2 linked regions of the Cricetulus griseus genome follow. The protein of the gene in region 1 interacts with the protein of each later gene in a pairwise test. Links are inferred from orthologs where the notes say so. Each region holds a gene or a part of one and is shown on either strand. Other genes may lie near its edges.

Region 1 (6,069 bases):
ATAAAAAGTTATGTTAATTTTTGAGTTAACTATAGGCATACAGTACACACACATATACACACACACACACCCTAAGAAGACAGATCAGGTGGAAATTGGAAGAACTGCCTGACCTTAGAAGTTATGGAGGAAGGAAAGCTAAATTCCATGAAATTTGGACAAGTTAACAGCCCAAGGTTTGAGGTTTCTGTTTATTTTTTTAATTGGTAGCTTTGGGTAATAAAACATTAATTATGTTTTATTAATAAACTAATATTTAGTTTTTTGTATTATTGTTATATCCTGAAATAAGTGTTTGGATCAGAAATGACATACCTTCCAATAAATCCTTCTTGCCCAAGGGAAAACTTGAGATAGCAATGTATATTCCAAGAGCATTTTTTAAGAGCTAATAAATAGACCAGAATGTTCTCAGAAAACAAGGAAAAGTCGTTTTTCTCGGTAGAGAAGCTGACAAGGCTATCCTCAATTCCTTTCTTTTATTCTGAGGGCTGTGTTCTGTACAGAGGAGTTTTATATTTTCGTGTTAAGAAAATTCACTACCCAACACCATTATTATCATTGGTATGTGAACGGCCGATGCTAGATCCTTGGCACATTTTATGAAGATACAATAGTGTATTTCATGTGTGGCACACTCATTTTGTGTTTCAAAGGAAGTATTTTTATCCTATGTAAGATTCTATTAAAATTCCTAAAATTGAGGTTCAGAATATTCAGTTCTATAAGAAGGTAATTCCCTAAGCAGATTTTACTCAATTATTCTAATGTAGTCTACGAAAAGCAATATGATGAGAGTAAGAAAATAAGTTTTCACTGTAGTATCACCAGAAGGGGGGTAGGGCACAGAGATGGGCAGCCCCTGTAAGCCTGACTCAGAATTGAAACTGTTTTCTTTTCTGGGAGGAAATCTCAGTCTCAAGACTGTAGACTCTAGAGGAGCCCAAAACATTCAATGGTAGGGTTTTCTGACTTATTATAGACTTGAAGTGTGTGGGTGGGTGGGAGACAGTGTTTAGAAAAGGCAAAGTTAAAACCCCTTTATGATAATGTCTTTTACAGCACGTGAATTTACAAAATGGGTTCAAAGAAATTATATTTATTGTATTTTTAGTGCCTGGGAAGTCACGACTTACTAGACAGGTATTCGATAAGTATTGGTCGAATTAACGGCCTTTATCCACATGCCTTTTGAATTCTAGACGCAGCCCGGGTCTTTACTCCATAGAAAGCAATGGAGCTGGAACCATAAATCCCTTAAAAGGTCAGGACCAGTTAACAAGGCTGAGCTAACCTCCTGGGCAGTGCCACACACACAGGCTGAAAGCCATGAAGGAAGAGGAATCAAAACAGGCTTAAAGAGACAGAAAAAACAAAACAACAATAACAAGCGAGCCTAAGAGGAAAGACATTTCTGCTGTGGGTGTTAGCAGGAAGCGACCGCAATTACCGTAGGTCATCATACCCCTGTCAGTAGGCGATCACCTCGGTCACAGCCACCAGGGCCGTGGGGAAGGCTCACACCCCACTTTTTTCAAACGCTCTCGATCAAGACTGCGCAGCCCGGGTTCACCCGAGTTCCTTGGAAAGAGCACCGCCAAGCACCTAAGGCTCGACCTGTGTCCACTCCATTCAAATCACGCAGCCAATAGGAAAACCCTCCGCCCTGGGCAGACGCGTCGCGCGGCAGGGCGAGCCCCGGAGGCAGGTCAAGCCCGGTACCGCCCGCTTCTCCAGCCGGCCAAGCGGCCGGCGTTTCTCCAGAGCTCTCGGTCCCGCAGGACAACCTTTCCTTCCCGGCTTCCTCCCTCCCTTTCCAGGATCGTCCCAGCCCCCGCAGTCACAGCCACACCCGCTTCCCTCCGGTGGCGCCCCCGCCGCCACACTCGGGCGGCCGCGCTCTTCCTGGGCCGGGCCGGAGGGCGGGGAACGGAGGGGAGGGGACAGGAGGAGGAGGGAGGCGGAGCGCGCATGCGCACTGGCCGCGGGGCGCCTCCCCGGCCCGGATCTCGCGAAGTTACGCTCAGCCGGGCCGCGGCTGACGGACGGGCGGGCGGGCGGTCGTGCCGGGGGCGGGAGGGCGTCTGTGGGAGGAAGAGAGGTCCAGCTCTGCCGGGCTCGCCCCAGTGCTCTGTGGGATACTGGAAGTCTCGAGCGTCTCCTCCCCGGCTCGCAGCTCGGCTCCGGGCCGCTCTCGCAGCCACGGTCGCACACCCCCCGCGTCCCCTCGCCGCCGCCGCCGCCCCCTTCCCCCGCTCGCGATAAGAAGAGCCGGCGGCAGGAGAGGGGGATGAAGATGGCGGACGCGAAGCAGAAGCGGAACGAGCAGCTGAAGCGCTGGATCGGCTCGGAGACGGACCTCGAGCCTCCCGTGGTGAAGCGCCAGAAGACCAAGGTGAAGTTCGACGATGGCGCCGTCTTCCTGGCCGCCTGTTCCAGCGGCGACACGGACGAGGTCCTCAAGCTGCTGCACCGCGGCGCCGACATCAATTACGCCAATGTGGACGGACTCACCGCCCTGCACCAGGTCTGTGCGCCCGCCGCTCGCACTCCCACCCCCACCCCCGGGCCCACGCCGTTCTCGCGCCCCCGGGCCTCTCCCGGTCGCCGGTCCTGAGGCCCGGGGGTGGTGGCGGGAGACTCCCTGCTGCGGGTGAGGGGGCGGCTCCGTCCGGGGAGGCTGGCCGCGGGGCTCCGGGGCCCCTTCAGACCCCGCTCGCTGCCTCTGCAGTTGGGAGCCGGCTGGTTTCCTGGGCGCGGGGCAAGATGGGACTGTGGTCTTGTGGGGGGGAACCCCAAGGGCCATTTGTGGACCTGTGTCTGGTGCTCTGGGTCAAGACGAGCAGGAGTGTGTAATGGATTGTGCCGAGGCCCGGTGTCAGTAATACACTGTTGGGTGTGGGGGGGGGGGAGGATGTAGAAAACCACTAACAGGGTGACTTGGGCAAATGGACCCCCTTGGCCTGGAAGTGAACATTGGTTTTGGTGTACTTTTTTAGGAGTTGATTACAAATGATGATGATAATAATAGTAATCAAGAACCATAGCCCCGGTGCCCTGAGCGAACGATTTCCTGTTTTCTCCTTTATTACTCTTGGTCACTGGGGAGGGGAAAACGGGGTGTAATTAGCTAATCTGCAGAGGCTGAAAGAGAGGGGATGGTCGTGTATCGGGTAAGGGAGTCTTCCCAAGTGGGCTTGCCCACTTCTCCACTGAAATCTATGGATTCCTGTACTCGAAGAGTTTGTCGCAGTGTCACAGATCCCTGAGTCCTGGCTCCTGGAGTGTGCAGCGGAGCTAGAAAGAGAAGAATAAACACTGCACTCTTCAAAGTCAGTTGCCAAACTTTGTTGTTGTATTTTTCTTTTGGGGTGGGGGCAGAAAAAAAGAAAGCTAATCACAATCTTTTCTCAAAATGGATGCTCTGTGCACGTTAAAGTTTTATAGTAGTCCGATTGGGATCTCTCAGTGTTAGCCAAATAAGGAGAAACTATTGGCAATCCAGAGATAATGTTGCTTTGCCTTTAACAAGCCAAAAGCAACAAAACCCTTAAGAGTCCTGCTTGAAAAGCAAGTTTTAAGTGCTGGTAATAGGTGCCATGGCATAAATTCTTTTATTTTCATATTAAGCAACTTGGAATTACTAGGAAATTGACAATGAAAAAGACTTATCTGGCTATCTCAAAATCGTCCTGGTTGTGTGAAAAATCAGTTTTATTTTAAATAATACTGTGGTTAAAAACTCGTTTGGGTGGTTGAAAGTTAGGGCTTCACACTTTGTATCTGAACTTTACATTTTGTGGCTATTAACTTTGTACCTTTTAGAAAGGCATGGTATATTTTCCTTATATTGCTTCCTGCTTTAGTAAGCGATGACCATTTTAAGTTTTATTTAATCAAACTCGAATATCACACTTGGCGTTTAGCCTTTGTTTACAGAGCTGACTGGAAGGGTTGAAATGACTGACAATTTGCAGGACAGATCTGGAATTCAGAGTGGCACCCAGTGAAAAGTACAGCGTGGTATCTCTAATGTAGTGCATCTGCCTAAAGCTTAAAGCATAGTATAAGTCAAGATCACAAAGCATGATTTTGAGAAGCAACTTTGGCATTAAAAAAATGTAATTATATAAAATGGGGGGAAAAACACCCTGAAGTTTCCTTTCAAATGTCTGTGCAAGTTTAGTGTGAAATTGTTTCTGAAACACAGTTACTGTATGTCAGAATACTTGGATAATGGTTCATATCAGTGTGTTTTCTAACACTGCTAAGTAGAAATGTAAAGTTACCCTATAGACAATTTACTGGATTGAAGGAAGAGGGCCAATTCTCTCTCTTTTTTTTTAATATTGTAAAAGCTGTTTAGGCAGTAGAAAACACATGGAATTGTCTTTGAAAGACTGTTTCTCAGTTTTTACTTCTTTAAAGAGGCTAGACCCACTGATATCTTCTTGATTAACTGAATTCAGTGGTTTGGTGCGTGTACTTAATAGTCTTTATTATTGAGTGTTTCATTTGGGTTAACAGGCACATAAGGAGAAGTTTCTGAGTTTATGCCTTTTGCATAACTGATTGGGTGACTAGTCAAATATTTTAGTACTCAAAAGATCATAAAATAACTGAAATATTTGCCCAGCCTAATTTCTCTTTAGTCTATTTGAATATTCACTCAACTTTTTAGTTTGGATAAAATTACCCAAGTTTTTGTTAACAGGAGACAAGTTCTGGGTACTTCACAACCCACAACTACATTCAACACCTGCATTTTCCTTACATTTATAAGTGGTTTGTAGTTAAAGGTTTATTTATTGGTTGAATGAGCTCTCATTAAAAGCAATGAAAGAAACTCAGCTATTGCTCTTTATCCCGTTGATATAGAAATGCCATCCGAATAGAGAGAAAGCAAACTTCTGTCTGAGTCTCTAAATGGCCTTCCTCTTTCAGGAGTATGGTACTGTTGTTTGACTTTTTTTCTAACCCTGAAGTCTAGAGTACAGTTTCAGTCTTTCTAGCTGGCAATTATTCACCTGCAGAGTTTTATTTATAGTCTTCGTGAACATTTTCAAGATTTATTGGGTTATATATAAAATGCCCTTTGCTGGTCTTTACTGATATGCCTATAATGCAAGAGTAACAATTTCAAGTTTAGCTTTTTGATTTTAACTCAAAATCCTATTTTTTTCTCTGTGCCAATGGTTTCCAAATCAGTTCTCAGTTTCCATTCTTACATAGCACCCAACTTTCTCTTATAAAGTGAAATATAACTATATATTGTAATTTTAATTAAAAATATATATCATTAAGTAGTCACATATATTCTGATCTGTTTCTTTGCCATAGGTTGACAGCAACTTTGTTTTTACAAAACATTTCTTTAAGGGATTCTTACTGTTCAGAAAAAAAAAAATTGTGATTGAGTTATAATCTGTTTTTGTCACTTGTTTATATTTTCATGTCTTGAGATTATATAGAATCCTTTTTGTGCAGTCTGAATATTCAGCTTTAGTTTTAAATCATCATGAATTTCAGCTTAAAATTCAGACTAAAACACCGTTCCTCACTAAGCACTACTTCACACTGACACCTCTCTTTCTGTTAATGATGTCATCAATCTCAAGATAAAGTTAGACATTTTTGTTACAGTTTACTCATCTTCCTGTGTACATATGTCTAGTCAATCACACCTGTCCTTTCTTCAGAATTACCTTTGTATTAGTTCTTTTCCTTGCTAGTTTGATTATCAACCTGTTCCGTGCACTTATATATTTTTAATCCTGGTATTATAGTAACAATTTGTGTTCTCCTCCCTCTCTCTCTCTCTCTCTCTGTGTGTGTGTGTGTGTGTGTGTGTGTGTGTGTGTGTGTGTGTGTGTGGTTTAGTCCAGGATACATACTGATTTCAGATGATCTAACGATCCTGTGTTGTGCCTATCCTTTTAATAGAGGTTTAAAGCATTGTCATTAGCTTTTGCTTGATAACAATTGGTGAACTTACTTTTATTGGGAAAGGATCTTTGCATTTTTTTATTTCAATCTCTTTTTCCTCTGCTAGAATATCCTCCCTTTCTT
Region 2 (6,226 bases), on another chromosome or scaffold:
CACAGAGATCTGCCTGCCTCTCCCTCCAGAGTGCTGGGATTAAAGGTGTGCGTCACCAACGCCTGGCTAAGTGGTTCTTTTATAAGTGTTTCCTTGGCCAAGATGTGTCTTCACAGCAATAGAACAGTGACTAAGACAACTTCTAAGTGTGGGTTTTTTTTTTCATTGATTTGTGTGTGTGTGTGTGTGTGTGTGTGTGTGTGTACATGTGGGTATAGGAATGGAGGTCAAAGGACAATGTGTTTGAGTTGGTCCTCTTCTACCATGTGGCCCCAGGGGTATCAAGCTTGGCAGCCTGAGCTATTTTGCTGGCTCTCTGTATTTTAAAACCTTGATGAGTTATTCTAATTACTTGACAAGTGACAAGTATTATCAGTAGATGATAAGAAAGCACAATGAAGTCAGCTTTCAGGGTCTGAGACTGGTGACAGGTTGCTGCACCCCAGGGAGGAGCACAGATTATAACATTTAAATATGAGGATCCAGGTTTTCTACCTTTTTAGGGGGACCTTTTGCCTGAGACCTCCCCCTCAGGCCCCTGCAGTATCTTTTCCTAAGGAGACCTCCTTTGCATCTCTTGGCCTTCTGTCCTAGGTTGCCTCTTACAGGGATATGGTTTGGTTTTGTGTGCCTCTCTCTCTCTCTCTCTCTCTCTCTCTCTCTCTCTCTCTCTCTTTGTGTGTGTGTGTGTGTGTGTGTTAGCATCCAGGACCTGACAGAGTGGTCAGTCACTCCTGTGCATGGCAAGCAGTACCCTGGTTCTGTACACAGGCGCAAAAGGTCCATTTAAGAGACAAACTTCACCTATTCCCACTCTCTTTCCTGCTGTTCCTCTGAAGAGACAGGCAGGTTTTTGCCCCCTCTCCCTTCTCTTCCCCCAATAAACTTACCATGTAAGTTTTGTCCGCATGATGTGGGTCTGGACTCACCTGCCAAGGTCCAATCTCTGTATCAAATAGTGCTGGGATTAAAGGCAAATGCCACCACCTCCCGACTAGATAATACTTTTATTTATTTATTTATTTTTGATTTTTCAAGACAGGGTTTCTCTGTGGCTTTGGAGGCTGTTCTGGAACTAGACCAGGCAGGTCTTGAACTCACAGAGATCCGCCTGCCCCTGCCTCCCGAGTGCTGTGATTAAAGGTGTGCGCACCACCACTGCCCGGCTTAGAAAATACTCTAAAAGTCAGCCCCAATGTGGGGATATATCTGACAAGCATCTGGTCCCCTAGAGGGATCCTCCTCCCCAGGTCTCCTGTTGTGATGGCAAAGATTAATGGTCAGATTGACAAACTCTAGAATTACAAACAAAACAAAAACCCCAAAACCAAACAAACAAAAAACAAACCCCCAAGCCCCCAAACAACAATAACAAAAAACCCCGAAAAACCACCCCCCATCAAAAAACAAGCCTCTGGGCATGTTTGTGAAGGAGTATATAGATTAACTATGTGGATACCTGCCCCAAATGTAGGTGGTACAGTTCCATGGTCTGTATAAAAAAGAGGAAGCCAGTTGAGCAGCAGCATTCATCCATTGGTGTCTGCCTCTGGCTATGGATGCAATGTGACCAGCTGCCTCAGGCACTTGTGCCATGAGTCCCTACCATATTGGCCTGTACCCTCAACCTGTGAGTTAAAATAAACCTATCCTTTTAAAAGTTGCTTTTGTTAGGTATTTTGTGGCTGCAACACAGCCACAAATGAAAATGAAATGAAAACGCCACTCATGGCGACACTTTTTCCCAGCATCCTCCCCTGTGGGAAGAGCTTCCTTCCTGGTTCTTTCCCAAGGGAACACTTCTGTTCAGAGTCTTCTCCCTGTGAGGGAAACCTCTGTCCAAGGTCGTCGTATACAGGCTCTAGGTAGCCAGCATCCTTCCCCATGGGGGAACCTCCATTTCAGGTCTCCCTCCATGGAGCACTTCAATCTAGCCTCCCTTCTCTGGAGGGAGTCTATTCCAGGTTCTCTAGCAATGGGACTACGTGGTCCAGCAACAAATCCCCTGAGGGGAAGTCTTCTTTCCAGGTCCCCTCCCAAGGGGACACCTCTGGCCAGTATCCCCTTTCCTCCCTTCTGAAGGAACCCCCTTCCCCGGACCCCTCAGGGGACGGCATCCATTATTCTGGGGGCACAGTTTATGCCCCACCTATGGAAGCCCTTCCTCAGGGTGAACATCTGTCCCTGACAAGACAGTCTCTAGCACACCCCGTCCCCGCCCCCTTCGTCCCAGTCAGTATTCTGTCCTTTTGGGGGCGTCTTTGCCCCCGATGCCCCACTGAGGACCCGAAGACCCCCCTCCTTTCCCAAACAGGAGCAGGACTTCCGCTGAGCCCCCTCCCCTCAGGCGGGACTTCCGCCCTCGCCCCCTCCCCCTGCTGCGCTGCGTTGTCCTCTCAGCCTGAGGCGAGCCGGCTAGTCTCGCGCTCTCTGCCTCGCAGCTGCGCGGGATCTGGGTGACACGGGCTGCGGAAGCCGGAGCCGTGCAGATCGCGTCTCTGTCTCCTCTCCTGTCGCTTGTCTCCTCTTCTCTCGCTCTTCTCTCCGCCTCGTCAGGTTCGGCTAAGAGTGAGTGGCAAGATGGCGGCGCCCAGGATGCCACCCTCCCGGCTGTCGGGCGTTATGGTGCCAGCACCCATCCAGGACTTGGAGGCCCTGCGCGCCCTCACCGCGCTCTTCAAGGAGTACCGTAACCGGTAACTGTGCAGGGGCTGCTGGTTAGGTGGAAGAAGATCCATGGAGGGGCTCTGGGCTGGGCGGCGGGCGAGGCGGGGCGGCGGGCGAGACAGGCTTGGCCCACGCTCAGGTTGTGGCTCTGTGGCTCGCGCCTAGGCCTGCTCCGGACGAGGCTTTGCCCAGGCCCCGAGGAGGCAGGCGGTGGCAACGCTGGTCCCCAAGTTGGCTGTGAGGAAGCTGTTGGTTTGGCTCCTCAGGCGAGGCCCTGAGGGCGGGCGATGGCCGGGGAGGCGTGTTCAGGCTTGCTTCCCACCACTGGGTTAAAGGGAGATGCCCGGGAGCCTGCAGATCCGGACTGGCTTCTTGACATCTGCTCAGCGTTGCCTCCGACCTTTCTGTTTCTAGCCTTAAAAATGGGACATAGGGTGCGTGTTTCCAATGCTGCGACGAAATAAGACTTGGAAACAGAAGTATGGGAGGCTGTCAGTTCCTGTTGGATTTTATAGTATTGTTGGTGCTGCAGTTTCCCTTTCTGTTTAATGGAAGGGATGTTGGAGGGTACCCCCTTAGTGGGATGGTAGTGAGAATTTAATGAGATTATGCATGTCACAGCCTTGGGCCATTCCTGACACCTAGCACTAAACAGGCATTAGTATTTTTTTCTCAACAGTAATGGTCTCCCCTGCACCAAGTACTGTGCTTAGTTATTGGAGTGAGAGGATTCAGAACCCTTGTTCTCTCTTGTGGGGAGATAACATGTAATCCCAGTGTGGATAGAGAGCAGAGATCAGAGTGGAAAAGAGCACGTAGGCTTGGGTAGAACTTTTCCTTTGTAAAAAACAGATAATCGCTTTAATCACAGTACTTGGGAGGCAGAGGCGGGAGGATCTCTGTGAGTTTGAGCCTGGCTTGGTTTCTAGAATGAGTTCCAGGACAGCCAAGGCTACACAGAGAAACCCTGTGTTGAAAAACCAAAATAAATGAATAAATAAATAAACCCTGTACTGAAAAACCAAACCAAACCAAACCAGCCAGATAGACGGACAGACAAACAATCAGACAGATAACTGAATCAGGCATAGTGGCACAGGTCTTCAATCCCAGCATTCAGGAGGCAGAGACAAGTGGATCTCTGAGTTCAGTGCCAGACTGGTCAACATTGTGACAGTCTCCCTATCCCCAAAACAGATACACAAACCAACTACAGCAACAACAAGAAAAAATGCTGAGTTGAGTACTTTCCCATCTGCAGTCGCAGTAGAAGGGTGTGCATCTAAAAGGGTATTGAAGGCCCCAAGGTACTGCTGCTTGGGTTTGTGGGTAGGACGCTGATCAGTGTGATACTTCTGGGAAATAATGTTGGTTGATCTGCTGCTTGGGTGTGTTTATACCGTGCAGGACCTATACCTTATTCATTAACCGTATATTGAGCACTATAAAACAAGTCTTTGCAGGGGGCTGAAGTTACAAAAACAAATGTGACATAATTCCTTTCATCAGACATGTCAGGGGATTGCTGTGTAAAGATAATGTAGTAGATATCCACACAGTAAAGGTCCTTCCTTCCAGCCCAGGAAAGACAGATAATTGGAGAGGGCCTGGAAGATGGTTCAGTGGTTAAGAGCAATTGTTGCTTCTCCAGAGGACCAGGGTTTGATTCCTACAATCCACATAGAAGCTCATGACCATCTGTAACTCTAGTGCAAAGGGATTTGATGTCCCCTTCTGGCTTCTATGGTTATCAGATACACACATGGTATACATAGACATACACACAGGCAAAACACCCATACATGTAAAATTACTAGAGATTCAAGGGCTAGCTAGAAAAGGCAGTGTCTGTGAAAGGGTCTTATATTGATTTTGTAGAGTTGCAGAGAAACAACCAGACAATATGTCTTGGACAGAGGAGACAGTTGAACATTGACTTCCTTTACGTAAGCTTGTTGAGAAGATTAAGGCCCATAGACTTCTTGATTTGGTCTTTTGTGAGAGGAATTATGGGAAACTACTGATGGCTTCATTAAAAAAAGTGGTTTGATAAAATGTGTTTGTGAGGAAAGTCTTTCTGATTGCCATTGGAAAGAGAACAGAGAGACATTAGAGCAGAGAGAGGGATGAAGGAGGAAGGGTGTGTTTCAGCAGCTGTTGCAGAAATCCCAGTGAAAAAGTGCCCAGATTAGAGCATTGTGGGGAAGGAGAGGATGGATGTTGAGGAATCTGTAAAACTGAATGGGTAGGATTCAGGGACCACTGGCTCGCTGCTGTGGGGTGAAGATGAGAATGCTTCTGAGGTTTGGTTTCGGTTCTTGTGGAGCAGTGACCCCGTTTCAGTCAGTTTGGAGCTCGGAAAGGATGAACTGGTGCTTGGAGAATGCAGTTATATGGTGGTGCAGAGTTCTTGATTCTAGTTCTGCGTTGTCACCTAATTGTTTTTTTTTTGTTGTTGTTGTTATTTTTTTTAATTTTTTAATTTTTTTTGGTTTTTCGAGACAGGGTTTCTCTGTGTAGCTTTGGAGCCTATCCTGGCACACGCTCTGGAGACCAGGCTGTCCTTGAACTCACGGAGATTCACCTGCCTCTGCCTCCCAAGTGTTGGGATTAAAGGCTTGCGCCACCAACGCCCGGTCTAATTTTTTTTTTTTAAGATTTATTTATTTGTGTATTAGGGTGTTTTGTCTGCATGTATGTCTGTACACTGGAAGAAGGCATCAGATCTTATTATAGACAGTTGTGAGCCTTCTTGTGAGTACTGGGAATTGAATTTTGGAAAGTCAGCTAGTGCTCTTAACTGCTGAGCTGTCTCTCCATACCCTCATTTTAAAAATGGAAGAGAGAGAGAGAAAAAAAAGAGAGTGTTTTGTTTTTGTTTTTTTTTCTGTCTATATGTATGTGCATGTATGCAGGGCCTGTGGGTCTCCTGGAAGTGGAGTTAATGGGCTAGGGGATAGGGGAGTGAGCCACATAATGTTGGTGCTAGGAACGGATTCAGGTCCTCTGCAGGAGCAGCAGGTGCTCTTCACTGTTTTTGGTGTGTCTTTTGGGTAAACCTCGTGTTTTTTTAGCCCAGACTCCATATGTTCCAAGAGGATCTTTCCAGTTCTTAACTTATTTTTCTCTTCAAATTTCTGCTTAAAGTTTCTCTTTTAACTTGCCTTCTAGTTTGTTCATCTTTTCTTCATCAAACTTGCTATCATTGTGTTATGTATTTGAATATATCTGTTTTTATATTTCTATACTTTGTTGAAACTGATGTTCTCATTTAATTATGTATATTGATTATAAAGATTGGGCCTGATAACTTTTTATCGAGTGTGTGTGTGTGTGTGTGTGTGTGTGTGTGTGTGTGTGTGTGTTTGATCATTTGGCTCTTTTTATTGAATGCTGAATATTTTGTGTGAAAAAATTAATTTCTAGCTAGAGTTTATAAAGTATTTATAAATTTAAAACCAAAATCAACTTAAAGCACATTGTTAACAATTTGTCTATTACTTGGAATAAAATGAACCTTGACCTATATCTCAAACCATCCAGAAAAATATTTCAACAT

What was found. The genes of interacting proteins can lie anywhere in the genome.
Region 2: the proteins of Ppp1r12a (region 1) and Atxn10 interact in binary tests that used the Homo sapiens proteins (3 or more experiments, as listed by UniProt). The link is inferred for Cricetulus griseus from reciprocal best matches to the Homo sapiens genes PPP1R12A and ATXN10.

What each region holds. Positions count from the first base shown.
Region 1 is NW_023276806.1:147,070,152-147,076,220, reverse strand, and holds the start of Ppp1r12a (protein phosphatase 1 regulatory subunit 12A), read left to right. Parts: upstream 1-2,062; 5' UTR 2,063-2,290; coding exon 2,291-2,527; intron 2,528-6,069. UniProt on the Homo sapiens protein: Key regulator of protein phosphatase 1C (PPP1C). Mediates binding to myosin. As part of the PPP1C complex, involved in dephosphorylation of PLK1. Capable of inhibiting HIF1AN-dependent suppression of HIF1A activity.
Region 2 is NC_048595.1:382,150,489-382,156,714, forward strand, and holds the start of Atxn10 (ataxin-10), read left to right. Parts: upstream 1-2,438; 5' UTR 2,439-2,580; coding exon 2,581-2,696; intron 2,697-6,226. UniProt on the Homo sapiens protein: May play a role in the regulation of cytokinesis. May play a role in signaling by stimulating protein glycosylation. Induces neuritogenesis by activating the Ras-MAP kinase pathway and is necessary for the survival of cerebellar neurons.